Linked DNA regions of Saccharomyces cerevisiae S288C. The gene in region 1 interacts genetically with each later gene. Each region holds a gene or a part of one and is shown on either strand. Other genes may lie near its edges. The genes, in order: CSM3, RAD17, RMI1 and MEC3.

Region 1 (3,275 bases):
TAATTGCGTCATCGTTTGACAAGAGAGTTTTATGGCACGACCTGGATTTGGCTAGCACACCTTACAAGACACTAAGATATCATGAAAAAGCCGTCAGAAGTGTGAATTTCCACAAAAAGTTACCTCTATTCAGCTCTGCCGCTGATGACGGTACCATACATGTTTTCCATGCCACTGTTTATGATGACATGATGAAAAATCCGATGATTGTGCCACTAAAGAAACTAACCGGTCATAAAGTAATCAATAGTCTGGGTGTTCTTGATGCTATTTGGCATCCGAGGGAAGCTTGGCTGTTTTCTGCCGGTGCTGATAATACGGCTCGCTTATGGACCACCTAGATAAATAATTTGAAGTAGATATTGTATAATAACGCCCAAGAAGAAAAAATCAAACACTCGAACCAGGCTCTTTCTACAAGCTTTATTTACACAATATATATAAACCTATATGTATAGATGCCCACACGCACGTTTGGATTATTACCTTCAATGACATTGCTAAAAGCCCATTTCCTTCATAGCATCCAACTCATCTTGATCTACGCCAAACTCATCTCCCCCTGGCAATAAATCATAATGAGTATGTTGTCCCTCTATATCATTCATTTCCCACTCTTCCAAACTTTGAATCAGTTGAACGTCTTCTTCAGTCATAGAGCCTTTTTCCATTTTTCTATGCGCATCTAGCCATCCTAATAAGAGCTTCTTCTCATTTTCTTCAAGGCCAACGGGCCCTTGTACCCTGAATGTCTTCAATAATGCATCCAAATCTTCCTTAGGCGGCACAACGTTGTTAAGTACCGTTTCATTATTCCCACGTTCGTCCAAAACTCGTCCTCTTCTGTTGCGATAAGAAAGGTGATAGATATCGTCATCTTCGTCATTATCGTAATCGACATTGTTTACATTCCTTTTGTCTTGCGCAAAACTATCTGCGACAATAGGCCTCTCTTCCGCGGAAGTGACATGTTCTTCAACCATAGGTGATTGTCTTTCCAGGTCTTGCCCAGTCTCCCGTGTGCCAACATCGAAACTCATGCCCATCTCGTCCCTAAAAAGGCTGACTCTATATTCTCTAAGAACTGGATCTGTTTTACCTACTGTTTGACAGATCTTCATAAAATCCTTAAATTTTGCCTTGGGAAACAATTCATGTGCCCAAAGCTGGTAAAACTGAATAATATTTGATAAGTTGTCATATGAGTTTTTTTTTGAGGAAATTCGTATCCTTTTATGTGCATTTTTCAAAACATATGGTAAACCTTTATCACTGAGTAGTTTTTCGGCTGTTAATTTTACTTGAGGCCTTCTCTTTCTAGCTGTAATTGCGGTTGGATCCGCAATGGTAGGATCAACTACTGAACCATCCAAGCCATTTGGTACAGTTGGGTCTTTTTGGACACTATCGGAGTCATTGAAACCTAGTAATAAACTGTCAAAATCTTGATCCATGACCTCAATAAAAGTTTCTGTTCACGTTTTCATGGCATTTTAATCCAGTATATCATTGATCTTGTTACGCGTCAGTTTATTATTGTCACTTTTGCAGATTATCATTACCCGGCATTTTTCCTTACCATGCTCATTAGAAAAAGAACAAAACTAAATTATACTTAGAGTTAATAAAGTGTCATAAGGTCGCAAAGGAAACTATCAGCATTGCATAGAGATCCCGGCAACTGAGAGGCACCATTCAGCTTCGAAGATTTCTTTTTTAAAACATTATTATGTTTGGAGTTAGCCGTGGCGCATTCCCCAGCGCAACAACACAGCCATTTGGCTCAACAGGATCAACCTTTGGTGGCCAACAGCAACAACAACAACCAGTAGCAAACACTTCTGCTTTCGGCCTCAGTCAGCAAACAAATACAACACAAGCACCTGCGTTTGGTAACTTTGGTAACCAAACTTCTAATTCTCCCTTCGGAATGTCAGGCTCGACTACAGCAAATGGTACTCCTTTTGGTCAAAGTCAATTGACGAACAACAATGCCTCTGGCTCGATCTTCGGTGGAATGGGTAATAACACAGCACTTTCTGCTGGTTCCGCTTCTGTTGTGCCCAATTCTACTGCAGGTACAAGCATTAAACCTTTTACTACATTCGAAGAGAAGGATCCAACCACAGGTGTCATCAACGTCTTCCAAAGTATCACCTGTATGCCTGAATACAGAAATTTTTCTTTTGAAGAATTGAGATTTCAAGATTACCAAGCTGGTAGAAAATTCGGTACCAGTCAAAATGGCACTGGTACTACTTTTAACAATCCTCAAGGAACTACCAATACTGGATTTGGAATTATGGGTAATAATAACTCCACTACTTCTGCTACAACAGGAGGATTATTTGGTCAAAAGCCAGCAACAGGCATGTTTGGAACCGGAACTGGAAGTGGTGGTGGCTTTGGCTCTGGAGCGACCAACTCTACAGGATTGTTTGGAAGCTCTACTAACCTCTCAGGAAATTCTGCATTTGGAGCAAATAAACCTGCCACTTCCGGGGGATTGTTTGGTAATACAACTAACAACCCAACAAACGGCACTAATAATACAGGCCTTTTCGGCCAGCAGAACTCAAATACAAACGGAGGATTATTTGGTCAACAGCAAAATTCATTTGGGGCGAATAATGTCAGTAACGGGGGAGCCTTTGGTCAGGTGAATCGTGGTGCCTTTCCCCAACAACAAACACAACAAGGTAGTGGTGGTATATTTGGTCAATCAAACGCTAACGCAAATGGTGGCGCTTTCGGCCAACAGCAAGGCACTGGTGCTCTTTTTGGAGCTAAACCTGCTTCTGGTGGACTATTTGGACAATCTGCTGGTTCAAAAGCATTCGGAATGAATACCAACCCCACTGGTACCACTGGTGGCTTATTTGGGCAAACCAATCAGCAGCAAAGTGGAGGAGGGTTATTTGGCCAGCAACAAAATTCCAACGCTGGAGGATTGTTCGGTCAGAATAACCAAAGCCAGAACCAATCCGGATTATTTGGACAACAAAACTCCTCAAACGCATTTGGCCAGCCACAGCAACAAGGCGGATTATTTGGAAGCAAACCTGCAGGAGGACTGTTTGGACAACAGCAGGGAGCATCCACTTTTGCGTCTGGTAATGCCCAAAATAATTCTATATTTGGGCAAAATAACCAACAACAGCAATCAACCGGGGGATTATTCGGACAACAAAACAACCAGTCGCAGTCCCAACCTGGTGGATTGTTTGGCCAGACCAATCAAAATAATAATCAGCCATTTGGCCAAAATGGGTTAC
Region 2 (8,246 bases), on another chromosome or scaffold:
ACACCAGATAAAGTTGATGTTTTAATCGCAGGGACTGGTATGGTAGAGAGTGTATTGGCTGCTGCATTAGCTTGGCAAGGTTCCAATGTCCTTCATATTGATAAGAATGATTATTACGGTGACACTTCAGCCACACTAACTGTAGACCAAATCAAAAGATGGGTAAATGAAGTTAATGAAGGCTCAGTAAGTTGCTATAAAAATGCGAAGTTGTATGTATCCACGCTAATCGGTAGTGGTAAATATTCTTCAAGAGATTTCGGTATTGATCTTTCCCCGAAGATCCTATTTGCAAAATCTGATTTATTATCCATCTTAATCAAATCAAGAGTTCACCAGTATTTAGAATTCCAATCTTTATCTAATTTCCATACTTATGAAAATGATTGTTTCGAAAAACTAACAAATACAAAGCAAGAAATATTCACGGATCAAAACCTACCACTAATGACAAAGAGGAACTTAATGAAATTTATCAAATTCGTACTCAACTGGGAAGCACAAACGGAAATATGGCAACCCTACGCGGAGAGGACCATGTCTGATTTTTTAGGGGAAAAGTTTAAATTAGAAAAACCACAAGTCTTCGAATTAATCTTCTCAATTGGGTTATGTTATGATCTCAACGTAAAAGTACCAGAAGCTTTACAAAGGATTCGTCGATATCTAACTAGTTTCGATGTTTATGGACCATTCCCTGCACTATGCTCCAAGTATGGTGGGCCAGGAGAATTGTCGCAAGGGTTTTGTAGATCTGCCGCTGTAGGTGGCGCTACTTACAAACTCAATGAGAAATTGGTATCCTTCAACCCTACAACTAAAGTGGCCACATTCCAAGATGGATCCAAAGTTGAAGTTTCAGAGAAAGTGATAATATCGCCTACGCAAGCACCTAAAGACAGTAAGCATGTCCCTCAACAACAGTACCAGGTTCATCGTTTGACCTGTATAGTTGAAAACCCCTGTACTGAATGGTTCAATGAGGGTGAATCGGCCGCCATGGTAGTCTTCCCTCCTGGCTCTTTGAAATCTGGTAATAAGGAAGTAGTACAAGCCTTTATTCTCGGTGCTGGCAGCGAAATTTGTCCAGAAGGAACTATTGTATGGTATTTATCGACCACAGAACAAGGCCCACGTGCTGAAATGGACATTGATGCCGCTCTAGAAGCTATGGAAATGGCCCTGCTAAGGGAATCGTCTTCAGGTTTAGAGAACGACGAAGAAATTGTTCAACTAACGGGAAATGGTCATACAATAGTAAATTCAGTTAAGTTAGGCCAATCTTTTAAGGAGTATGTTCCTAGGGAAAGATTACAGTTCTTATTTAAACTTTATTATACCCAATACACATCCACGCCACCCTTTGGTGTAGTTAACTCCTCCTTCTTTGATGTAAATCAAGATTTGGAAAAAAAGTATATTCCCGGTGCGAGTGATAATGGCGTCATATATACAACCATGCCTTCTGCTGAGATATCGTATGATGAAGTAGTCACCGCAGCCAAAGTTTTATACGAAAAGATAGTTGGCAGTGATGATGACTTCTTCGATTTAGATTTTGAAGATGAGGATGAAATACAGGCTAGCGGCGTTGCTAATGCGGAACAATTTGAAAATGCCATAGACGATGACGACGATGTCAATATGGAAGGTTCCGGTGAATTTGTAGGTGAAATGGAGATATGACGAGCAAGACATATTCTATTTAGTATTTTTTTCCCTTCAGGAAACGGTGATTAATGTCTTCTTACAAGTTAATGAATAGTATATATATGTAAAAAAAAATTCTGCTTCATGTATATACGCACCTCGTTATTGAGGTATTGCGAATGTAGCAGTTGAATAAGCAAAGACGAGGTTTGTACATCTTGGCATATTAAATGGTTATTTCGGGGTTTGTTTCGGCTCAACGGTGATATAAAAAGAAATCCAGTACTGTTTACCATTGTGCATCCGTACATTTGATTTGTTTACAACATCTTCACATTTCCATTGTGGAATCATTTTATTTTTTTCAGAATACCTTACCCGCAAGCAAACTTTCAAGCAAACTTACAATTTGCAAAATTTCATCGAATTCTCCGCAGGACATATTATAAAAGTTATGTCATCTCTTATCACAACAGGTCTATAAGTGTTCCTTGTTCAATTGTTTTTCCCAATTCAAAACTCTTCACGGAGCAGTTTAATTATCTTACTGTCGAAGAAGTCAAAAACTAGACTATATATTATTGAGAAGAAAAATGTCTGACGTTGAAGAAGTCGTTGAAGTTCAAGAAGAAACTGTTGTTGAACAAACTGCCGAAGTTACTATCGAAGATGCTTTGAAGGTTGTTTTGAGAACCGCTTTGGTTCACGATGGTCTAGCTAGAGGTTTGAGAGAATCTACCAAGGCTTTAACCAGAGGTGAAGCTTTATTGGTTGTTTTGGTCAGCTCTGTTACTGAAGCTAACATTATCAAGTTGGTTGAAGGTTTGGCTAACGACCCAGAAAACAAGGTTCCATTGATCAAGGTTGCTGATGCTAAGCAATTAGGTGAATGGGCTGGTTTGGGTAAGATCGACCGTGAAGGTAACGCCAGAAAGGTTGTCGGTGCCTCCGTTGTTGTTGTCAAGAACTGGGGTGCTGAAACTGATGAATTGTCCATGATCATGGAACACTTCTCCCAACAATAAACGGTGTGATGTTCATTAGTACTTTTTCTAGAGTTAGATCACATAATAATATATAGTTAAACTTTTATTTAATTGTAAGTTATATGTTATAAAATTACCAAATGCTGAATGAAGTTCTGCGTTTTCTGCGATGCTGGATATTGACTTAAAAAAATATAGGAATATCCTTTGTTGGATACTTGCAGTGATTCTCTTCATCCTCACTTTCCCTGTTTTTATTGTTTTCTTCTTCAGATGGTAGTTTAATTTTTTTCCCATTCAATTGCAGCAAGTTGTCATTTGAAGTTTCATTGCCTTTATCTGTACCATATCTTTTTCTTATAGTTGATTTTTTAAAACTATTACGATTGCCAAGTTCATTAGTCTCCATCAGGAGTTCTATTTCTGTCTGTGCTGCCTCATCTATGGATTCTTTTTCTAGCATGCAAACCTCAATTACTATACCGGGATAATCCTTGGGTAGCTGCAGTTGGCGAATACTACCTGGTCGATTATTTGAAGGTCTTGTAGTATCAGTGATAATGACATCGTCTGTTTGACTTAGAATATTTACACTCAATACGCCATGAACATCCATCCTGAAAAGGACTTTGCTTGCAATTTTAGTACTCTTTCTGATTTTATCAAACGAGGTGAAATCGAAGAACCCAATTACAGCAAAACCATCTATTACTGTTGTGGAATCTCCGTCAAATACTTGTAACTTCTCTAGTATGGATCTGTTACTGGGTAATTTTATTTTAGAAAATCCTAGCTGAGATTTAGATATCAGGGCAAATACATTCTCATCATTCGCCTCGGTCTTTGCATATACATAGCACTCTTTGCATCCGATTTCTTTTAGATCCTTTAAGGCTGAATGAAGGGCTTCGCCCTTAATAATTGCCTCAAAGCTTATCCTTTCTCTATCGAGTTCTAGTCCATTAGTATCAAAATCCTTAATTAAGTAGGTAGAGTACTCCACTCTCTCAGAAATGAACGAGTCTTCAAATATTAGTACAAATGGTGATCCATGTCCATCATAAGATAAAGTACACTCAACAATGTCATCCGAATTCCTGTTCATCACGCTAACGCTATCTAAGATATGATTTATTTTTACACAAAGTTTCATGTGATCCTCAGTTTCATTTCTATACGAATAAGACATAAATAGCTCCCGAGATAACAGTAGTTGGATTTTTATCACATGATTATTCTCCCTGACAAATGACAGCCCATCAGCATCAATGAATATAAGCACATCGTCTTTAGAACCAAAAGGTGTTAAACAACTTAAAGCAGTTGTGATATGTTCTAAGTGCACCGTTGAGGCAGAAAACTTGTTCGCTAGCTCACTGTTGATTCGCATAGTTGAAATCCTTCAACTACTTTGTTTCCACACCGTTCTGTGAGATTGATTTGTATAATCACATTTTTACCGGTAACGTTAACTTTTGTTACGCGTCTCTAGCCACCTTAGTGTTTATGTAGGAAAACTTTGATGGAAAACTAAAATATATCAAAGGAACTTTGGTTGCGTATATAGGGTTCTTAAATGTTTATTTATCAATTTCTGCCAGAGAAAGTGTTAATAATAATTCTCTAAACTATATCTCTCCGTTGTCCTAACACCACTCCTTCAGTAGCCTGAGATGCACCTTTCATATAACCGTATTCAAAAGTGCTCCATCCAGTACCATCTTGTAGATGTTTTGGTTTAGACTTAACCGGGGGTCTTGGCTTCTTTGTTGACAGTTGTGGTCCTAGAACTGGAAATCTATCTGTATGTTTTTTGTTGGCGTAACGAGATAGTGACTTCAACGTTTGGAAAACAATGGCAGGATCCTTTTTCTCAAAAAGATCAATTGTCTGAAACAGTTCATCTTCAGGCACACCATATTTTCTCGAAAATGATAAAAATTGGGAAATTTGATCCATTTGAACAAATGGCATTTTAGAGCTCTTCCAACTAATATGGTTAGCTTCTCCTGTGTCTGCTTCATATAAAATATTTGCCAGCTTACATAGGACTGTTCCATCTTTCAAGCATTCCAATAAGTCTCCAGGAGGAGCTATCTCTTTTAGGACAGATTTATATACCCATATTTTGATATTTTGAATTGCTTCCGGTGAAAATTTGCTTTCTCTTAGTTGTCTCAAATCTTCATCTAAGGATGTGACATCTGCCTTCTTATCGTAACTCATCGGTAAACTTTAGCTGTACGCTTACAAAGAAGTCATTTACTTAGACACTACTTATATCTTAGCTTTACTATTTGCGTTTATACTCCTTTTGGAACTCCACGGATGTCCAATTACACGTGATGAATGGGTGTTCAGCATATGTTACAACTATAATGCATGACATGATGAATATGTAGTGGTAATCCATGCTGTATTTTGTTATTACTGTAGCATGGTATTGATGCATTTTTAATTTTTATAATGCTGCTATGGAGCGATCCATATCGACGACAGCTTTAGTTCATGGCGGTCCATTTATATTTTTGTGCCCGAATTACTGACACATTTAAAAAATGATGCAGTGTCAATATTTTGGAAGGATGATGAAGCAAAGTCGTAATGCTATTTTAAATAATATTTAACCTCTCTGATTTATAGATGTAAAGAGAATAAGTATGCTTCCCATTAAAGTCTTCTCTTTATCTCGGATTTTTGTTTTGCTAGCAATCTTCCGACAAATACACGCTATTTCCATTAACAGCTCTACTTTCCAGGTTTCTAACTCTTTTACACTACTGAACAACGCATCGACTCTATTCCCAGTACCATTTGATGCATATACTAAAGAATATCTAAGGACTTCGGCTCTGTTGACTTGTGCTAAAGACTCACAGTTTTCTGCATCGTATTTCGAAGCTGCTTTTTTCCCGAGAAATAATACTCTATTCTTTAATGTTGAAGCACAAACAATTATGAGCGAAAACATAACCATCAAGGCAGAATTGATTGCATATGGTCTCAATGTTTATACCAAAGTTTTTGATCTATGTGGAATCCAAGATAATTTATTATGTCCGTTGAAGCCGGGAAATATAGAACTCATGGGAAGTTATTATGTTGAGGCCGCGGTAGCTAGCCAAATACCAAGCATAACATATAATATACCTGACTTAGACGCATATATTGTGGTGACAGCATACTCCACTATTGATAAAGAATTTACCAAACCTCTAGCATGTGTACAAGTGATGTTATCAAATGGTAGAACAGTCCAAACAGAGTATTTATCGTGGAATCTAGTGATATTGACAATTTCCGGAATTATGTTTTCAGTGGTTTATTCTTTGCAAGGTTATACGGTTACTTCAACAAGACTGGCGTCTTATTCAATATCGCTACTTTTATATTTCCAAAATTTGGCTATTTTAGCTATGATTAGTGTATCATTTTTACCGCCTATTGTCGCCGCTTGGACTCAAAATTTCCAATGGTCAATGGGAATAATAAGGATAAATTTTATGCAGCGGTTATTTGACTGGTATGTTGTCGCAACATCTGGGTCCCCCACCGTTGTATACCGCAATAAAGAAGTTTTATCGATCAGTGTTCAAAAAAGATCCTTGAACAGTAAAATCATATCAGCGTCAAGTAATTTAAATGGTATTGAAAGTTCCCAAAAAAATGATTTATTATACACTTCAAATTTGAGAAATTCAAATGACTATCTGTCAAAAATTTTAGTATTAAGAGGTATTAAAAGGGTGTCTTACAAAGCTGGAATTGAGATATCAAATTTCTTTTTAACGGGATTTTCCTTCTTTATCATATTCATTTGTATGATAATATTGGCGTTTATTATCTTCAAAACATTTTTGAAAGTACTTCAGAAGTTTAAAGTTAAGACAATTAGATATTTACACTTCCACACACATTGGAGTGCACTTTTACAGGGGACACTATATCGAGCGGTGTTCATAATTTATTCTGAGATATCTCTTTTAGCACTTTGGGAGTTCACTCAAACAGACTCAGCAGCTACCTTAGTGGAGGCAATCGTTGTTTTCATTTTGATTACAGTCTTGTTATCATCCGCAAGCGTAAGAATATGGAGGAAGATGATCAAGTCTAAGAAAATATTTGGCCAGCCAAGCTATTTACTCTTCAGTAGCTCGAAATTCTTAAACAAGTTCGGCTTTCTTTCCTCTCAATTTAAGTCTACAAAAGTCTGGTGGTTAATGGCGACCTCTGCACACATGCTTATTAGGTCTATACTAGTGGGTTCTCTACAAGCGCACGGAAAATCTCAATCTATTGGTATCTTTTTGAATGAAGCTATCTATCTCATCCTTTTGTGCTGGATGCAACCTTACATGGATAAAACAACCAACTTCTTCAATATTAGTATCCATTCACTGAATTTAGTGAACGCATTTTTTTTCTTATTTTTCAGTAACTTATTTCAGCAGCCCATAGCTGTGTCTTCTTTTATGGGACTAATTTTCTTTTTTCTAAATGCAGCGTTTTCTTTGTATCTCTTCATTTTCATATTGATATGCTTTACGATGGCAATATACTACAAACACCCTGATACAAGATACAAACCTATTGATGATCAAAGACGATCCTTTTTGAAGGGTGAAATGGATGATGATGCGGTTTACGAATCGGTCCCGGAACTGCACGAAATGAAGAAAGCCGTTCTTGAATGCAACGGTATTCAAAAGCCGCAGATCAATAAGATTGACCTTTGTAAACAAAATTCGAACTGTGAATATCTGTATATGTGAATAAATAAAATCGTGACTAATACGTCCGGTAGGATTTGCCTTCCTGCAAAATTTCTTCTGATTTTGGAATTTGAAAGGTTGTAAGACCATCTCGGAACTAAATATAATCTCCGGAGTATCTCCAACGAAGAAAACATAAAGCGTTGTTAGGACTTAATAGAGGTCAGATAAAGAAAATCTACTGAAACGTATAGAGCGGATGAAATATCACTTTCTGATCTTGCTGAACAAAATTTCTTCGATAAAAGATGTACTTTACAGACGAATCATCACCGGCAATGAATAGAGTAGGTAAAAAAAGGAATAGACTTTCTTTTGTTTGCCAAGCTTGTAGAAAAGCAAAGACGAAGTGTGACCAGGAAAAACCTAGATGTGGCAGATGTACTAAACAAAACCTCTTTTGTATATATGATGTCGCCAGACAGGCGGCCCCTAGGAATCCGAATAAGGATGCCACCATAGCGAGACTGAAAAAGGAGATTCGTTACTGGAGAAATAAAACCGTGGATTTGACTCAAGAAAAGAAAGACTTCTACACTGCATTGAAAAGGCCGACTGAAGAATTAGCTGCTAGAAGGACATGTAAAAGCTTGCAGGAAAATAGCTTTCCAATAAGTCTTTATAAGACTCATCCCAGATTGATTATGACCAAAGTGATGAAAAGAGAAATCAACCCTTTATCTGAGAAGTACTTAATATTTCAAGATACCTTTCTGAAGACATTAATTGCCTCCGTGCTTCTAAGTTGTTCCAGAAACTCCATGATTCCTGCTTTAAATGCAGATATTAGTAGGTCGAGGACACAGCCATGCGTAAAGAATAACGTTGTAAAAATGAG
Region 3 (7,473 bases), on another chromosome or scaffold:
TTGCAAGCACAGTTAACAAGGTCTGTGCATCCGCTATGAAGGCAATCATTTTGGGTGCTCAATCCATCAAATGTGGTAATGCTGATGTTGTCGTAGCTGGTGGTTGTGAATCTATGACTAACGCACCATACTACATGCCAGCAGCCCGTGCGGGTGCCAAATTTGGCCAAACTGTTCTTGTTGATGGTGTCGAAAGAGATGGGTTGAACGATGCGTACGATGGTCTAGCCATGGGTGTACACGCAGAAAAGTGTGCCCGTGATTGGGATATTACTAGAGAACAACAAGACAATTTTGCCATCGAATCCTACCAAAAATCTCAAAAATCTCAAAAGGAAGGTAAATTCGACAATGAAATTGTACCTGTTACCATTAAGGGATTTAGAGGTAAGCCTGATACTCAAGTCACGAAGGACGAGGAACCTGCTAGATTACACGTTGAAAAATTGAGATCTGCAAGGACTGTTTTCCAAAAAGAAAACGGTACTGTTACTGCCGCTAACGCTTCTCCAATCAACGATGGTGCTGCAGCCGTCATCTTGGTTTCCGAAAAAGTTTTGAAGGAAAAGAATTTGAAGCCTTTGGCTATTATCAAAGGTTGGGGTGAGGCCGCTCATCAACCAGCTGATTTTACATGGGCTCCATCTCTTGCAGTTCCAAAGGCTTTGAAACATGCTGGCATCGAAGACATCAATTCTGTTGATTACTTTGAATTCAATGAAGCCTTTTCGGTTGTCGGTTTGGTGAACACTAAGATTTTGAAGCTAGACCCATCTAAGGTTAATGTATATGGTGGTGCTGTTGCTCTAGGTCACCCATTGGGTTGTTCTGGTGCTAGAGTGGTTGTTACACTGCTATCCATCTTACAGCAAGAAGGAGGTAAGATCGGTGTTGCCGCCATTTGTAATGGTGGTGGTGGTGCTTCCTCTATTGTCATTGAAAAGATATGATTACGTTCTGCGATTTTCTCATGATCTTTTTCATAAAATACATAAATATATAAATGGCTTTATGTATAACAGGCATAATTTAAAGTTTTATTTGCGATTCATCGTTTTTCAGGTACTCAAACGCTGAGGTGTGCCTTTTGACTTACTTTTCCGCCTTGGCAAGCTGGCCGGGTGATACTTGCACAAGTTCCACTAATTACTGACATTTGTGGTATTAACTCGTTTGACTGCTCTACAATTGTAGGATGTTAATCAATGTCTTGGCTGCCTTCATTCTCTTCAGGCTCTATTAATTTTAACCGTTATAAGTTCCTTTTCTCCCTTGGAAGCAAACATCAACTGCCTTAAAATCTGGTGGCGAGGAAAGAGGAAATGGCATGTACTAATGATGGTCCTAATAAATATCCCGAAATTGTGAGTGTTAAGCACCTGTTCCAACATTCGGGATCCAAGCATGAATTTAGTGCTGGTAAACGATTTTCAAAATCCATTGGTAAAATATTCAAACGAAACTCTGCTTTGAAAACTTCTAGAACTGAAACGGCAAATCATAAAATGGAATTGAAAAAAAGAGAGGGTGTTACCTTATTGCCACCTGTCCCAGAATCATTATTACATAAACTCAATTCTTGGTTGGAAACTTTTTCTTCCACCAAGAACATGAAAATCGAAGAAAACAAAATTGTTATTAATGAAAAAGAGATTCGGGATTCAGTCTCTTACTACCCTGATAAGAATGGAGGAAGTGCTGTATTTTGTTACTTGCCCGACCTTGTGCTATATTATAAGCCGCCTATAAAAGTCACAGGCAAGCAATGTCCAATAAAGAGAAGTCCTTGGGAATCGATGGAAATCCAATATCAAAAGTTTATGTACCCCTTAGAAAGGTTGGAAAGACAGTTTGAGGAAGTTCCATTTAGGCCCTGGTATTTTGCAATGCGATTAAAGGAACTTTACAGATGCTGTGAAAGGTCTTTTACTAACGCGGCAAATAGAGGAAAGGCAAGGTTATTGCGGGGGAAGCAAAGGACGAAAAAATCGTATCATAAGACTGTCAACCTGGTATCAGCGAAGATTTCCACCCATTCAAATGCGCCGTCGCCGGGCTGAGAAACAAAAAAAGTGACTAAGTTCTGTCATTCTATCATTATTGTAATTAGTTATGTAGGACATATATATCCATAGTGATCTCCTTTTGATCAAAGAAGACACTGAAAAGTCGTAAGTTCGTAAAAAAAGTATGAAAATCGTTCCAGCCATTGCTTATAGCCATCCTAGTAGGATACTAGAAAAAAAACAAACCTCAAAGATAAAAAGAAAAGGTGAAGCTATTACCGAATTAGAACATAAGATAATACAGTGAGTATAAAGGTGAGACCTGCTCAATAATCTGGTAACCATTTCTCGTTTGGACCGTCTGTTAAAGTAGAAAAATTCATTTGTAAGCATAATAGCCTATTTCTTAATGTATCTTGTTGGAATTTGCAATCTTTGGAAGCACTAACGTCATCGATATCAGATTGGTAAGGTGTACTGTCCATTGAGGAAGTTAAAAAGGTACTATTATTGTGGTTGTTAGTGTATTCATACTTTTCCATACTTCCGTCACTATTATACGTTGATGGAATATCACTCTCCGGTTCAGCATCTTCCTCTTCTTGCTGCTGTTGTGCTTGTTCCTGGTTTTGTATTTGTTCTTGTTTTTGTTCCTGTTCTTGTTCTTGGACTTGCTGTTGTTGTTGTTGCTGTTGTTGTTGTTGTTCTTGGTCTGCAGAAAAATGTGATAAATCGCTCAAAAATAGGTTTTCATTCCTTATAATATGCGTCATGTAAACTTCGCTCGATAGGATTGGAACTTGAGACAAGGGCCCTTCCCTGGTGAAAGAAGTAAGAGAGGAAACTTCGGACATCAAAGTTTTCATGTCTATTCTTGTGTATGGATTTAGTTGTAGAATTTTCGTCAACACTGTGAACAGCTCATCTGATATAGGAAGGATTTTCTTCAGGACATTATTATCGTTAGCAAAATGTTGAAATGTGTTATCCTCCTTCTGGTGAGCTTTTAACCATGGGTTTCTTATGCAAGTTAAATTAATTAGGATGATGCCTAGAGACCATATATCTCCTGTATCCGTAGGGAGGCTCGAACAGCATTCGTCGACGTGTATGCCGTTGGTGGTGGTATTCAAACAATACAATATTCTTTCTGGAGCCATATAATATGAACTGCCAACGCACACATTTGGAGCTAGATATTTAGATTTAGTGGAAAGCCCGAAATCGCAAAGATAAGCGTTGTCATTGCGATCCAGTAGGACATTTTCAGGTTTGATATCACAATGATATATACCGAGACGATGACAGTGATCTAATGCGGAGCAAAGCTGCAGAAAAACTTTCTTAATCAAAATACCATGATTTACAAAATGCTTATCGTCAACTATCGAGGTGAAAAGGTCCCTGTCGTAATAATCCATCACTATAAAAGTGGCAATAGAAGATTCTAAAACTTGGTGAATCTTCACGATATTGCCGTGAGACTGCACTCTTAGTTGGAAGGCAATCTCCCTGTAGTGTGGTAGCCTATTTAGTTCATTCTCAGTCAACTGTAATATCGAGTCTAGATCAACGGAAGGTAAGAACAATTTTTTTTGGAAACTTTTGAAAAAATGATACAGTTGCGTTTGCAGAAGAGTGGTTCGCGCCACTTGAGAGTTGTTGTTCAAACCGTTCTTATTATAAAACTCATCCATCGAGGAGGATTTGAAGACCGTTTTCACTGCATATTCACGGCTCGTCAGTATATCCACCACATGGAACACTAGTCCATACGCACCCGACCCTATTTGAGCCGTTATTCTGAAATTGTTCAGCAAGCAGTCTGACAGCATTTGTACACAAAATTTCTTGTCTGTGTTCTTATTTGATGTTTTCTTTTAAAGAGTTTTGTTTCCGCTAGGGCGATTTAAGTCAATAAGTAAATTTAACAATTTACTAAATATATTTTGTATAATATATAAGAATATACGCCTTAAGAATGTCCTCTCATGCGAAAAAGGTAGCAAGAGCATAAAAAGGAAAAAGAAAACGCTATAGTCATTTGTAGGCTCTTGTCTTTCTTCGTCTTCGTCCCGTGAGTGCGGACTCAGAAAACACCGCAATGATGTGGGTCCGGAATATCTATTGCACAGTTTTAGTAGGGTCACCGATATCGTTAAGGTTTGTGGTAGGAACAGAAGGTACTGCCGGCCCTGTATACTGCCCTTTTGTTCCGACCATTTCTTTTTTGCATTTGTCCCAAGATTCTCTCTCCCCACAAAATCTGCTCAAGTATCTGTCCAACGCGCTTTCTTCGGCTGATAGATAAGTTCCGATTTCGTGGGAAGCAAAAAAAAAAAAAAAAAGAAAAAAAGAGTCTGTCCGAGAAATGTCCCGGAAAACGTGGGTGTGCGGTGAGGAGATTGTACTTCCATCCCACATTCCTCGTGTTTGATTGGCTGCAAGCCACTTGATGCCTAGAAAAGAAACACCGCGTGGTGCATCTATGTCCATATCACGCGCGCTAAAACAGCATGTAGAGAGCGCGAGGGCGGCGTACTGCACCATTCTAATAGGAAATCCGGGATGAATGCCCTCTCCGGAAATACCTCCACTAAGCCTCAATGGAAAGTTGTTCCGCTCACGCGAACAGGTTTTTCCGGGGAGTCGAGAACTACAGTGACGTAAATACGACGACATCGCTAGAGCCAGCAGAAGCCTCCATACATTCAGACTAATTAGTTGACGGGCTTGAGCCAACTAGACATATTATGTAGGCACATATGCTCCAACCAATACATATGTGTACATAGAGTACAGCTCTTCCCAGCGCATCCGCTATCGTCCTCTTGACAGGTCCGGCTATTTATTATCCGCGGCATCCGCGGCCCAGCGCACAATAATAGATTACTTTGCAATGCAAGCGGTCTTGGCTGTTTGCTCTGAGGGTCCATCTTCGTTTATTTCTTTATTTACTAAATTAATTATGATACTGCACTCAGGACGGGCCAAGAAAGCATGTAGCGTGAAGAGAAACTAATTATTAAGAAAAAAGAAAAAAAAAAAAAAAAAAAAAAAGAAAAGGAAAAAGGAAAAAGATAAACCAATCATACAATCTTTACAGAAAGGGAGTACTGAGAAGAAGGCCAAAATACTGCAGAGCATACATACTACCGAGTGGATGGAATGTCTTTTTCATCTATCTTATCACAGGATATCACAGATGACATTACACCACCAGCGTATTCCGCCACCTTGGGGTCGAGAGAACAGATTGTTTTCAGAGCTTACCAAAATGAACCTTGGTTGGCTGGTACTGCTTCGAATCTTATCTTAGATAAAAAACTTGTTATTGTAGACAGAGAACTGTTGTTCCAGGTGTTGATGGTAGAGAATATCACCAAATCCAAGCTAACACAGATCGATGATATAAAAACCAAGCTGGATCCGAAAAAACAGAAAGTGGATAGACTACGATCAGGCGCGCAAGGAAATGGCGCTAAGAAGTACGAGGTCATCACTCAAGTGGACATGGAAGATGACGGGAATGTGGCGGATAACAACTGCGCCAAGGAAAATAATAGCAACAATAATAGCAGTGCCGCCAAGAATAAAGCAGTGTTTAAATTGACACTACAAAGTAAGTCGGGCGACGTTTTTTTTGCTATCAACTCGACTCCAATATCTTGGAGCTCTTGCATGCTGGGTTCTAAAATTGTGATACTGCCGGGAACTGTGTTCAATAGGGGCGTTTTCATATTGAAGGACTCACAAGTCATTTTTCTCGGCGGCATTAATAGAGTTTGGAATGAAAATAGAGATCAGAAATTTTGTGATTATTTGGAATCTAAATTACAACGTGACAAACAACTTGTAAATGGCGGCTCCAAGAAAAGGAAAGCCAATGATTAGCATATGCCTCTTCTTCTTAGAAGGGCGTTCTGCCCGTTATGTATACGTTAAATATTACATTATTTTCGCATTTTTGTATTTATATTCAGTGAAATATTAGGCTTGGTCGAGTAACATTTCCCATAGCTCGTCGGTTTCTTTGAAGTCGTGATGAACAATTGAGACAAGACAGTAGTCTTTATGCACTAGTCTTAGAAGAATATTGGCTGGGGTGTTCCTTGGAAATAACTTGGCCCACTCGGACCAGATACTAAACGCTTCATCTCTCCATGCCTTGAATGACTCTTCTTCAATGATTGTAGTCTGTTTGACCGGACTGTTGGGAAAAACACCCCATGTTACAACGCTAGAGCTGTGCGGGTCTAGGTTCGTTTCAAATGAACCAGATGAATCGCCCGCGTAATAACTGAATTTCCGACGCCCGTAATGGTCTAGCTTGGGTTTCAAAGTTGTTTCCCATTGCTGTCTATGAATAAACATTTCTACGAATGCCTTCTGATACAACCTCCCTTTCGCGGGCCCCCAGCCGAATATTTTATCACTACTCAATGTAGCATTTGTGGCAGGTTGCGATGCCAAAGTCAAATATCCGCGATAGTTTAGTTGGATTAGTTCTTCTTGTATTAACGCCGTTTCAGCTGATAAACCCAGGTCAGACCAGGGAATCGCATCCGTTGAACCTTCCAAATATTTTATAAAAATATCTTTTAAATCGCCAATTGTCTTTGGTATACCCCATAGTTCAAGCGCTTTGCTTTTGCTTACCTTGATGGATGGCCCATAACCGTCTATTTCACCATATGCGGGAGACCTGGAGTCACCAAATCTACCATTGGGGAACTCATCCCAAGTGGCATCACGACCCAAAGTTCCGTGACCTTTAGAAATAGATATTAAAGCCTTTTTAGATGGCATGGAACCATTCTCATTATTATAGCGTAAGCCTTTTTCAGTGACGATAGCCCTATTGAAAATCAACTTGGCCGAATCAAGACTTGAATGCCTTCTCCTTTTCCGGTTTGCTACAGTTTCTTCATTCGAATCATCCAACACAATATCCCCGTCAGCATCTTCTATTGGCACATTTTCTATGCTTCCTATTTCGCCACTGGTTTCATCTTCTCCCTCTTCTTCGCTAGATTCATTTACGATATGGGATAAGACGGGAGATTGCGAGACAATTTGAGCAATAGCCTTTTCCAAATTTAATGTATAGAAATGAAACCCTTTAATTCTACCAGATGTTCTTTGATATATTTCCTGAATCAATTCGATAAGAATGTCCACACCAATGGACTTCACGGCATTATCATCCGATTGGATTTCTGGGGGGAACCTACTCAGTATTGCAGGTGGAATAGATGCATGTGATAACTTTGCTGCTCTGTGGAAAAGCAGATAGGAGTTAATAGGCATCAACCCAGGGAAAAGGGGCAAATCTTGCGAAATCCGTTCCCGAAATAGCATTTCAAAAGTTAAGAATTTTTCAACGTCGTAAAACAGTTGTGTTATCACAAAATCGGCCCCAGCTTCAACTTTTTCTTTTAAATATACCAAATCCTTCAATGGGTCT
Region 4 (8,405 bases), on another chromosome or scaffold:
AAATTAGAATTTCAATGTATTGGAAAAAGAGTGGTTTTAAAAAAGGTAGGTTGTGAAACGAGCGACAGTTATTATTTTTGGATATAAAAAGGTTCAAAGGAATGACAGGTTTATTTTTTTTATGTTATTGAGTCTTAAATGAGTGAAAGATCTTCAATGTTATGAAAAAACTTGACTGATATAATCTTAATGTAATGTATTGTTGTTGTCCATTCTATAAATTATACAAGGAAAGGTAAGTGAGACGTTTTTCCTCCATCCAAGGACCTAATACCTGCATCTTTTTATATCTTTGACCAATGCCTATGAAGCCAAATACTTCCGTCCATATTAGTTTTTTTTTGTTCCTTGAATCCTGCACCGAACCATCGAGGGGCTTAGTTCTTACACCAATGCTAATGTTTACTCAACATCTGAAACACATAAACAAATAAACAAACACCAAACATTGCACGTTAGAAACTCATATTTACTCGCACATATCTGTTAAGGCGAGGCTGGTTATTTTTTCAAGGGACCAGCATTTCCAATTTTTCACCAGCGGCAAAGAAAAATACCAACAAGCAGGAATCACACCCACGCATCTCATTTTGCGTTACTATGACAACTACAAAATTTGAATTTGTTAACGAGAATGACGTATATAAGTTCGATTTTGTTGAGGATATCCCACATATTCCCACCAACCAACCACTATATTAATGGACATGGTTTTTGCCGTGACCGTGGATCTCGCAGCTACACAATGATATCTCTTGTATCCGTTTTAGCATGAATTTCTAAACAAGACTGATTATATACCATGCACTGTAACATTCAGAGAAAATATACTAAAACAATTCATTGAATTTTATCTCCCATGTGTCAATCCATTTCTTTCTTTTTGGATCACCTTCATATAGTTTACTCATTTGGATAAGAACTTTTTTAGTTACTGCAACTAATGCAGCCTGTTCTTCTTTTACCTCCTCATTGGTAAAGTTCTTCGGCTCAAATTGTACAGTGGATACCACTTCATCCAAAAGTAACTGTATTTCCTTCAGATATGTATGTATACTGTCTAAAGTTTCTGCTTGATTCCTCTTAGGAGTAAAATCTTTTGACACCAGAGTTTTCCTGAAAGTTGATACAAGTAATTTGATTAGCTTTATCTTCCTCGTAAACCCATCGAAAAACAACTTTATATTTTCATAGACCTTTTCCTGGTCAAATTCCTCTTTCTGTGAATCAGATTCGGATTCTGAATCCTCAAAATCCAAAAATATATCGTCCGAGTTTGCTGAAAAATCGGGTTCCTCAAGCCACTCTTTTATTTCATTCATTGTATCGTCCATTATGGCCACATTATCTTTTAAGATGTTTGCTAGGATCCCATAAGGTCCAGCCTTGGAACAATTAGAGAGAGAATCGCACGCATTGAATATTTTACCAACTGAGGTTAACCTTTCTTTGTCTAGAGATGCATTTTCGTCATTTTTCAATCTTTCTTGTAATTCGGCAATGAAATCTCTCAAGCCATCGAGCAATTGTAGCGTACTTTCATCCAGTTGGTCTGTAAAGTATTTGGGGCAATCCTTGTTATTGTAAAACAAAGGGAATAAACTTAGTAAGTAGAATAATGGCCTACTAAAATTTTGGATTTCGGTAATCACAACTTTATGATTGTTATCAAAAGTTCCTGGCTTGCAAACAATACCTATTTTTGTGCAATGTGCCTTCAATACAGAGGCTAATTTGTCTAGTTCCTTAGTTGGGGTGGAACCTTGTAGTTTGGTAGTAGAGGAGATTTTACGCAAGTCTTCCGGCTTTTTGTATGGCACTAAAAACTGTTCATCTATAGAATTCAGCAGTTCCAATAATTTGACGTCATCCTTTCTATCACTGCTTCCAGTAGACATTATTGTATAACTGGTATTTCTCTTATAAAGTTTATAATAGGCGTCTCTGGTGATGCTTGTTGACCTCAATGGATTTTGTTAAAAGGAGGCTTCATGTCATCGTCAAGATCATTGCAGTTTTTTTCTAGTTTTTTTTTTTTCATTGCCACATTATGAAGCGCCCATTCAAAAACAACTAGAAAAACGTTTGCCAACCCTAGGTACGGCAAGATCCTCCTTATTAATAAAAGCATCACACCAAGACAGCAAAGAAGTAAATCGATAATATGAATAGCATAATTTTGCGAAGTTAAAGTCCTAAAGAAATAATTTATAGTTAACACTACTTACATAATTTCAATACTGCTTTATATTTAAAGTAAAAAACGCATAACGGAAATACAAATACAAGTCAAAAACTATCTTGAAGTAAAGATGGCATGACTGCTATTTTGTTTCTTGTTACTTTTAAGCTCCTTTTCCACAACTGTTAATTTTCTTATTGGACGGATGGACCTGGGTTCATTCTTCTCTTACCGTTAACCAAGGTAACGTTAACGAATCTTCTGGTGTACAATAATCTTTTGTAAGCACGACCCTTAGGCTTCTTTGGCTTTTCGGTTTTTTCAACCTTTGGTGTTTGAGACTTGACTTTACCAGCACGAGCTAGAGAACCATGAACTTTAGCCTAAATAAATAATATTAATATTAAAAATTAATGACCATGTTAGTATAGTGAATTTTTGAATTATTTGGCGTATCAGCAAGGATGCTAAAAATAAACTTCACTCTGCTATTTTCTCAAAGCCTTTTTAACTCTCCGTCAAAAAATGTTGTTATTAAACTCGACATTATGTTAAGTCCACGCTGTTGCCCTCGAAAAATCTGTGTCAAGCAATTACGTTTTTGATGTAACAGAACTCAAATTTAAAAAGTTTCCTATCATATTCTCAGGGTGGAGCCAGTTTAAAGATATATTGCGTTTTATTTCTTTTTCTGCGGTATATATAGATATGAAACACCAGTAATATATTCAAATTAGCTATTTCTTGTTATTCATTCCTCGCTGAAACGTCCATTTTTTTCATATTTTAAAATCCTAATGAGGCATTACGTACCATATTTGCGTAGTTTTTGTATGGGGATATGGAAGATTATTACAGTGGCAAATTTAATGTGCAGTTCATGTAGCCTTTAAAATGCAACATACCGTTCGTAAGGCTGTTTTGTTCTATCTATTTTTTCTGAGGTTTCCGACAACCTCACGACATTTTTTTTTTTCGAACGGAAAAAAGAAAAGCAGTTAGTATGTAAAGCACGGATTTTTTTATACATATGTACGGATGTGATAGTCTGCAACTCTGCAACTCTGCAGTTCTCAGCCATGTCAGATTTAAAGAGTTTCCTTAGCAACGTAGCAAAGAAATGTACCGCTGTAGGGTTTACAAGCCCTTCGATCTTGCTATATAATATATGATTTGTCCTCTTTCCCTTGGTTTTTCCACATCTTCGCTATCTTCCAAGCTACCACGATCCAACGAACAGTGGAATACGCAGGATTCGTCGTGAGAAATCGCCAAAACAACTTCTTCAAATGCAGCGTATAACTTGGAACACACCTTCCAATCTTTGCAACGGATGATTACTTCATGTGTGGACGAACTTTCCTGTTCAGCCTTTTCCACCATAACGGATATGTCATTAAATTCAGTATCACCGCTAGTATCAGCTGTGTAAATGTTTCCCCGCGTATCTGCGATCGAGCTATCCTCAATTCTTAATAAATCTTCATCGTAGCGGATATTTTCTTCCATCTCTCGATCTCTAGTATTGGTATATAGTGAAGACATCGGTTTATCCGCTTCGATAATCGGAAGAGATCCTTCCTCCTGCCGGCCGTCTGTGTCGATGTGCTGGTTTTGGGAAGGATTGTCAGTGAGCCCTTCTTGGCGTTGTATCACAGAGTCTAAGGGTCCATTCCAGCATATTTCCAAATGCCAATCTAATTCATTCACAATTATCTTAAGTTCTACATCATCACCTTCATTTCCATGCTCCTTTTTTTTGACTCCCATTAAATGAATGTGGTTGACATTACTGTACCGTTCAACACGTCTAATAAACCCGTGGAAGGCGGAGCCAAACTCGCCCGATATTGGTGGCAGCTTGTACATCATCAGTTGAATATAGTTAATCATTGGCTCTTGTATTCGCGTATCTTGTGCTCGGAATAATAGTTTGACAGGTACTTTGAACGAATGCATGATAACCTTATTGCTTGCGAGTAGATTTCCTGTGCCTACTGTGGTTGGTAAACCATTGTGCTCATCCACTCCCCCATTCATAACTATAGCGTCATTTGGGCCGCTAGTATGTACAATTTCTTCGAATGTTATACCTAGAGCACAAATGGGGTTCGGTTTTGAGGTTGTATCTACGCCTCCTGCTGTTCCTCCTGAAAGTGTTCCGTTATTTGTATTCCATTCTGGCATTGACTGTAGTTTTATAGTCATATTAGAGGAAGATCCTTGGTTCATTACTCGATCATACCTTTTAAACACACTCAATAAAGAATCACAATTACACTCCATTGTTATTGTATTGAGCTCGCGAGCTGATATAACTGTATATAATCTGAATACATCATGAGGAATGGTACACCAAAGCTGACCAGTATCCCCTCGTAATATTGTACCGTTGTTACTGCTGTTGAGTGATGATTTTGGAGTGGATATTATTGTCAATCTTTCACTATTAAATCTTAAGATAGCCGTCTTTCGTAGCGAAGCAACTGTATTGATAGTAGTTCTTAGCAATTTATAATCATCAGGTGCTTCACAACCATTTACTATCAATTTTAATTTCATTTAACTGAATTAAGACACACCTTTTGTCTTCTTTTTTCTCTCATCATCTCCGTATGTTTATGTTGCTATTTTGATGTAAATAAAAAAGTTGAATAATAGACGAGGGCAAGTATAACTCGCCTATATTTGTAGCCGCAACCATTGAAAAAGAGCCATGAATATGGGAAACTAGTTGCACATAAAAATGCTGAAATTTAGAATTAGGCCAGTGAGACATATACGGTGTTATAAACGACACGCATATTTCTTACGATATAACCATACGACTACCCCTGCACAGAAGTTACAAGCACAGATCGAGCAAATACCTCTCGAAAATTACAGAAATTTCTCTATAGTTGCCCATGTTGACCATGGGAAGTCAACCTTAAGTGACAGACTGCTGGAAATAACGCATGTCATCGATCCCAATGCGAGAAATAAACAAGTTTTGGATAAATTGGAAGTCGAAAGAGAAAGAGGTATTACTATAAAGGCGCAAACATGTTCGATGTTTTATAAAGATAAGAGGACCGGAAAAAACTATCTTTTACATTTAATTGACACGCCAGGACATGTGGACTTCAGAGGTGAAGTTTCACGGTCATATGCGTCTTGTGGGGGAGCAATTCTTTTGGTTGATGCATCACAAGGCATACAAGCACAGACGGTTGCTAATTTTTATTTAGCCTTCAGTTTAGGATTGAAATTAATTCCAGTAATAAACAAAATTGATCTAAATTTTACAGATGTTAAACAGGTAAAGGATCAGATAGTGAATAACTTTGAGCTCCCCGAGGAAGATATAATCGGAGTAAGTGCTAAAACAGGATTAAATGTAGAGGAACTGTTACTACCGGCTATAATTGATCGTATACCACCACCAACGGGGAGGCCTGATAAACCCTTCAGAGCATTATTAGTGGATTCTTGGTACGACGCATACTTAGGAGCGGTTCTTCTAGTGAATATTGTTGATGGTTCTGTACGTAAAAATGACAAGGTTATTTGTGCTCAGACAAAAGAAAAATACGAAGTCAAAGATATTGGAATCATGTATCCTGACAGAACCTCTACAGGTACGCTAAAGACAGGACAGGTTGGCTATCTAGTGCTGGGAATGAAGGATTCTAAAGAAGCAAAAATTGGAGATACTATAATGCATTTAAGTAAAGTAAATGAAACGGAAGTACTTCCCGGATTTGAAGAACAAAAACCCATGGTATTTGTGGGTGCTTTCCCGGCTGATGGGATTGAATTCAAAGCCATGGATGATGATATGAGTAGACTTGTCCTCAACGATAGGTCAGTTACTTTGGAACGTGAGACCTCCAATGCTTTGGGTCAAGGTTGGAGATTGGGCTTTTTAGGATCTTTACATGCATCTGTTTTTCGTGAACGACTAGAAAAAGAGTATGGTTCGAAATTGATCATTACTCAACCCACAGTTCCTTATTTGGTGGAGTTTACCGATGGTAAGAAAAAGCTTATAACAAATCCGGATGAGTTTCCAGACGGAGCAACAAAGAGGGTGAACGTTGCTGCTTTCCATGAACCGTTTATAGAGGCAGTTATGACATTGCCCCAGGAATATTTAGGTAGTGTCATACGCTTATGCGATAGTAATAGAGGAGAACAAATTGATATAACATACCTAAACACCAATGGACAAGTGATGTTAAAATATTACCTTCCGCTATCGCATCTAGTTGATGACTTTTTTGGTAAATTAAAATCGGTGTCCAGAGGATTTGCCTCTTTAGATTATGAGGATGCTGGCTATAGAATTTCTGATGTTGTAAAACTGCAACTCTTGGTTAATGGAAATGCGATTGATGCCTTGTCAAGAGTACTTCATAAATCGGAAGTAGAGAGAGTGGGTAGAGAATGGGTGAAGAAGTTTAAAGAGTATGTTAAATCACAATTATATGAGGTCGTTATACAGGCCCGAGCTAATAACAAGATAATAGCTAGAGAAACAATTAAGGCAAGAAGAAAAGATGTTCTCCAAAAGCTGCATGCTTCTGATGTCTCACGAAGGAAAAAACTTTTGGCGAAACAGAAAGAGGGTAAAAAGCATATGAAAACTGTAGGTAATATTCAAATCAACCAAGAGGCATATCAGGCTTTTTTGCGCCGTTAGCATTGCATATTATTGTTATTACCATTTTAAAATTATACCAAGCTGTATATAGTTAAGTACTTTTCATTTGTAAATAAAAGAGAAAAATAGATTAATAAATATAATAATGGCATAATCATTATGCTTTAAGTATTTCCTCAAGTGTAACTACCCCTTTAAAATCTGGGTTTTCGATATTTTTCAGGACGGATTTGCTTACCTGCTGAGTGGATACTGTTGGCCTAATCAAGTCGTTCAAAAGCTGCAGCTTATTTCTCAATAGAAATTTGTTACCGCAGTAAAGTAGTTCAAGTGCAGTATGAATAAAAGACCGTGGTCCAATTGCATTTCTGTGCTCATCGAACATAAAACCGGGTCTCACAATAATAGGCCTGAAATATCTCTGCATTTTTTCTAGTTCAATCTCCGCCTCTCTTTTCGAATTAATATAGCCACTAGGAATCAATGGGAAACCTTTATCGGCGGAAATATACGTAAAAGATCTTTGATTTGCTTTTTCTTGCTCCTTTTTGCTTTTCTTTAGGATTTTTTGTTTAAATGTATCTGCCAAAATAATAGCACTTTGCTTATTCATCATTTCATAAGTAAAATAAGGACTGCTTTTTTTTAAAGGATTTGGACCTGCACCAAAAGATAGAAGGCGTGATTTTGAATCATATGTAGGGGATTTGGATAGAGTTTGCTTATAATTTTCATTTTCTAGGAGGATTCCCAAAGAATGAACTACGTTAGTAGCATTATTCAATAATTCATGGTAAGAATCAGGCTTAAAAATGTCAGCAGCGGTCCATTGGACCTCCTGCATCCATTGCTTATCATTTAATTCATTGCTATGAGGAGCTTTACCGGACCTTGACACAGAAACGACTTGGTAGCCCGAAGTCACTGCTTCTTGACAAATTCTTTTACCTAAAAATCCATTGCCTCCAAAAACTATAAGCTTTGGTATCATTTTCTACTTCAGTTCAAGCTTTAGCTGTATTTTTGTATACGATACATATTTCCCTTATTTTTTTATTTTTTCAATGTTTTCCTGTTTTTCTATTATGCAAAAGCGACAAGATGGCATTACGAGGAGACACTCAACTAAAAAAAAAAAATGAGTCAAATTGCCAGACTTTGTAGAGAAGTAAAAAGTTAATGCTAAGATGCTCTTTATGTATTAGTCTTTTAACATATTCAAGGATACGTAAATATTCTGATTATATACTAATAATTAATAATAAAAAAATTGTTTTGATCTACAAGATTTTTATTTATTTTCATGAGTAATGTACAAAAGACACATCATCACGCCTTATTTTTATCCAAATGCACATCAATTTGCTTGTAATTATCCCACGCAATACGATATATAAAACTTGGATTGAACCCACCGACGTTTGTAATGTAGATATCAATATTTTCAGGCGGAACATAATCGGTAATTTGATTAACTGTATCTAATCTTTTTCTTGGATCCATTCTAGGTAATATACGTTGGGACCCACCAAATTCGACAAACTTCTCTACGTCGAACGGATATAGAGGAGAAAGCTT

Evidence for each region.
Region 2: mutations in CSM3 (region 1) and RAD17 together harm fitness more than expected from each alone (negative genetic interaction), as found in Saccharomyces cerevisiae (6 studies listed by BioGRID, with this or other methods).
Region 3: mutations in CSM3 (region 1) and RMI1 together harm fitness more than expected from each alone (negative genetic interaction), as found in Saccharomyces cerevisiae (5 studies listed by BioGRID, with this or other methods).
Region 4: mutations in CSM3 (region 1) and MEC3 together harm fitness more than expected from each alone (negative genetic interaction), as found in Saccharomyces cerevisiae (7 studies listed by BioGRID, with this or other methods).

Annotation. Positions count from the first base shown.
Region 1 is NC_001145.3:365,160-368,434, reverse strand, and holds CSM3 (Csm3p), read right to left. Parts: upstream 1,455-3,275; coding exon 501-1,454; downstream 1-500. Other genes in the region: ribosome biogenesis protein ERB1, read left to right, coding at 1-341; FG-nucleoporin NUP116, read left to right, coding at 1,730-3,275. UniProt on the Saccharomyces cerevisiae protein: Forms a fork protection complex (FPC) with TOF1 which is required for chromosome segregation during meiosis and DNA damage repair. FPC coordinates leading and lagging strand synthesis and moves with the replication fork.
Region 2 is NC_001147.6:1,022,623-1,030,868, reverse strand, and holds RAD17 (Rad17p), read right to left. Parts: upstream 4,027-8,246; coding exon 2,821-4,026; downstream 1-2,820. Other genes in the region: GTPase-activating protein MRS6, read left to right, coding at 1-1,686; 40S ribosomal protein eS12 RPS12, read left to right, coding at 2,244-2,675; SCP1 (Scp1p), read right to left, coding at 4,260-4,862; YOR365C (putative flavin adenine dinucleotide transporter), read left to right, coding at 5,297-7,408; oleate-activated transcription factor PIP2, read left to right, coding at 7,657-8,246. UniProt on the Saccharomyces cerevisiae protein: Component of the checkpoint clamp complex involved in the surveillance mechanism that allows the DNA repair pathways to act to restore the integrity of the DNA prior to DNA synthesis or separation of the replicated chromosomes.
Region 3 is NC_001148.4:498,343-505,815, forward strand, and holds RMI1 (Rmi1p), read left to right. Parts: upstream 1-5,174; coding exon 5,175-5,900; downstream 5,901-7,473. Other genes in the region: ERG10 (acetyl-CoA C-acetyltransferase), read left to right, coding at 1-950; SMA1 (Sma1p), read left to right, coding at 1,323-2,060; putative serine/threonine protein kinase SKS1, read right to left, coding at 2,333-3,841; methylenetetrahydrofolate reductase (NAD(P)H) MET12, read right to left, coding at 5,997-7,473. UniProt on the Saccharomyces cerevisiae protein: Structure-specific DNA-binding protein with a preference for cruciform structures. Also binds single-stranded DNA (ssDNA). Functions together with SGS1 and TOP3 to maintain genome integrity. Essential for proper meiotic cell division.
Region 4 is NC_001144.5:710,161-718,565, forward strand, and holds MEC3 (Mec3p), read right to left. Parts: upstream 4,745-8,405; coding exon 3,320-4,744; downstream 1-3,319. Other genes in the region: YLR287C (uncharacterized protein), read right to left, coding at 831-1,898; 40S ribosomal protein eS30 RPS30A, read right to left, coding at 2,377-2,565, 2,996-2,998; GTPase GUF1, read left to right, coding at 4,929-6,866; ubiquinone biosynthesis protein COQ11, read right to left, coding at 6,985-7,818; GCD7 (translation initiation factor eIF2B subunit beta), read right to left, coding at 8,157-8,405. UniProt on the Saccharomyces cerevisiae protein: Component of the checkpoint clamp complex involved in the surveillance mechanism that allows the DNA repair pathways to act to restore the integrity of the DNA prior to DNA synthesis or separation of the replicated chromosomes.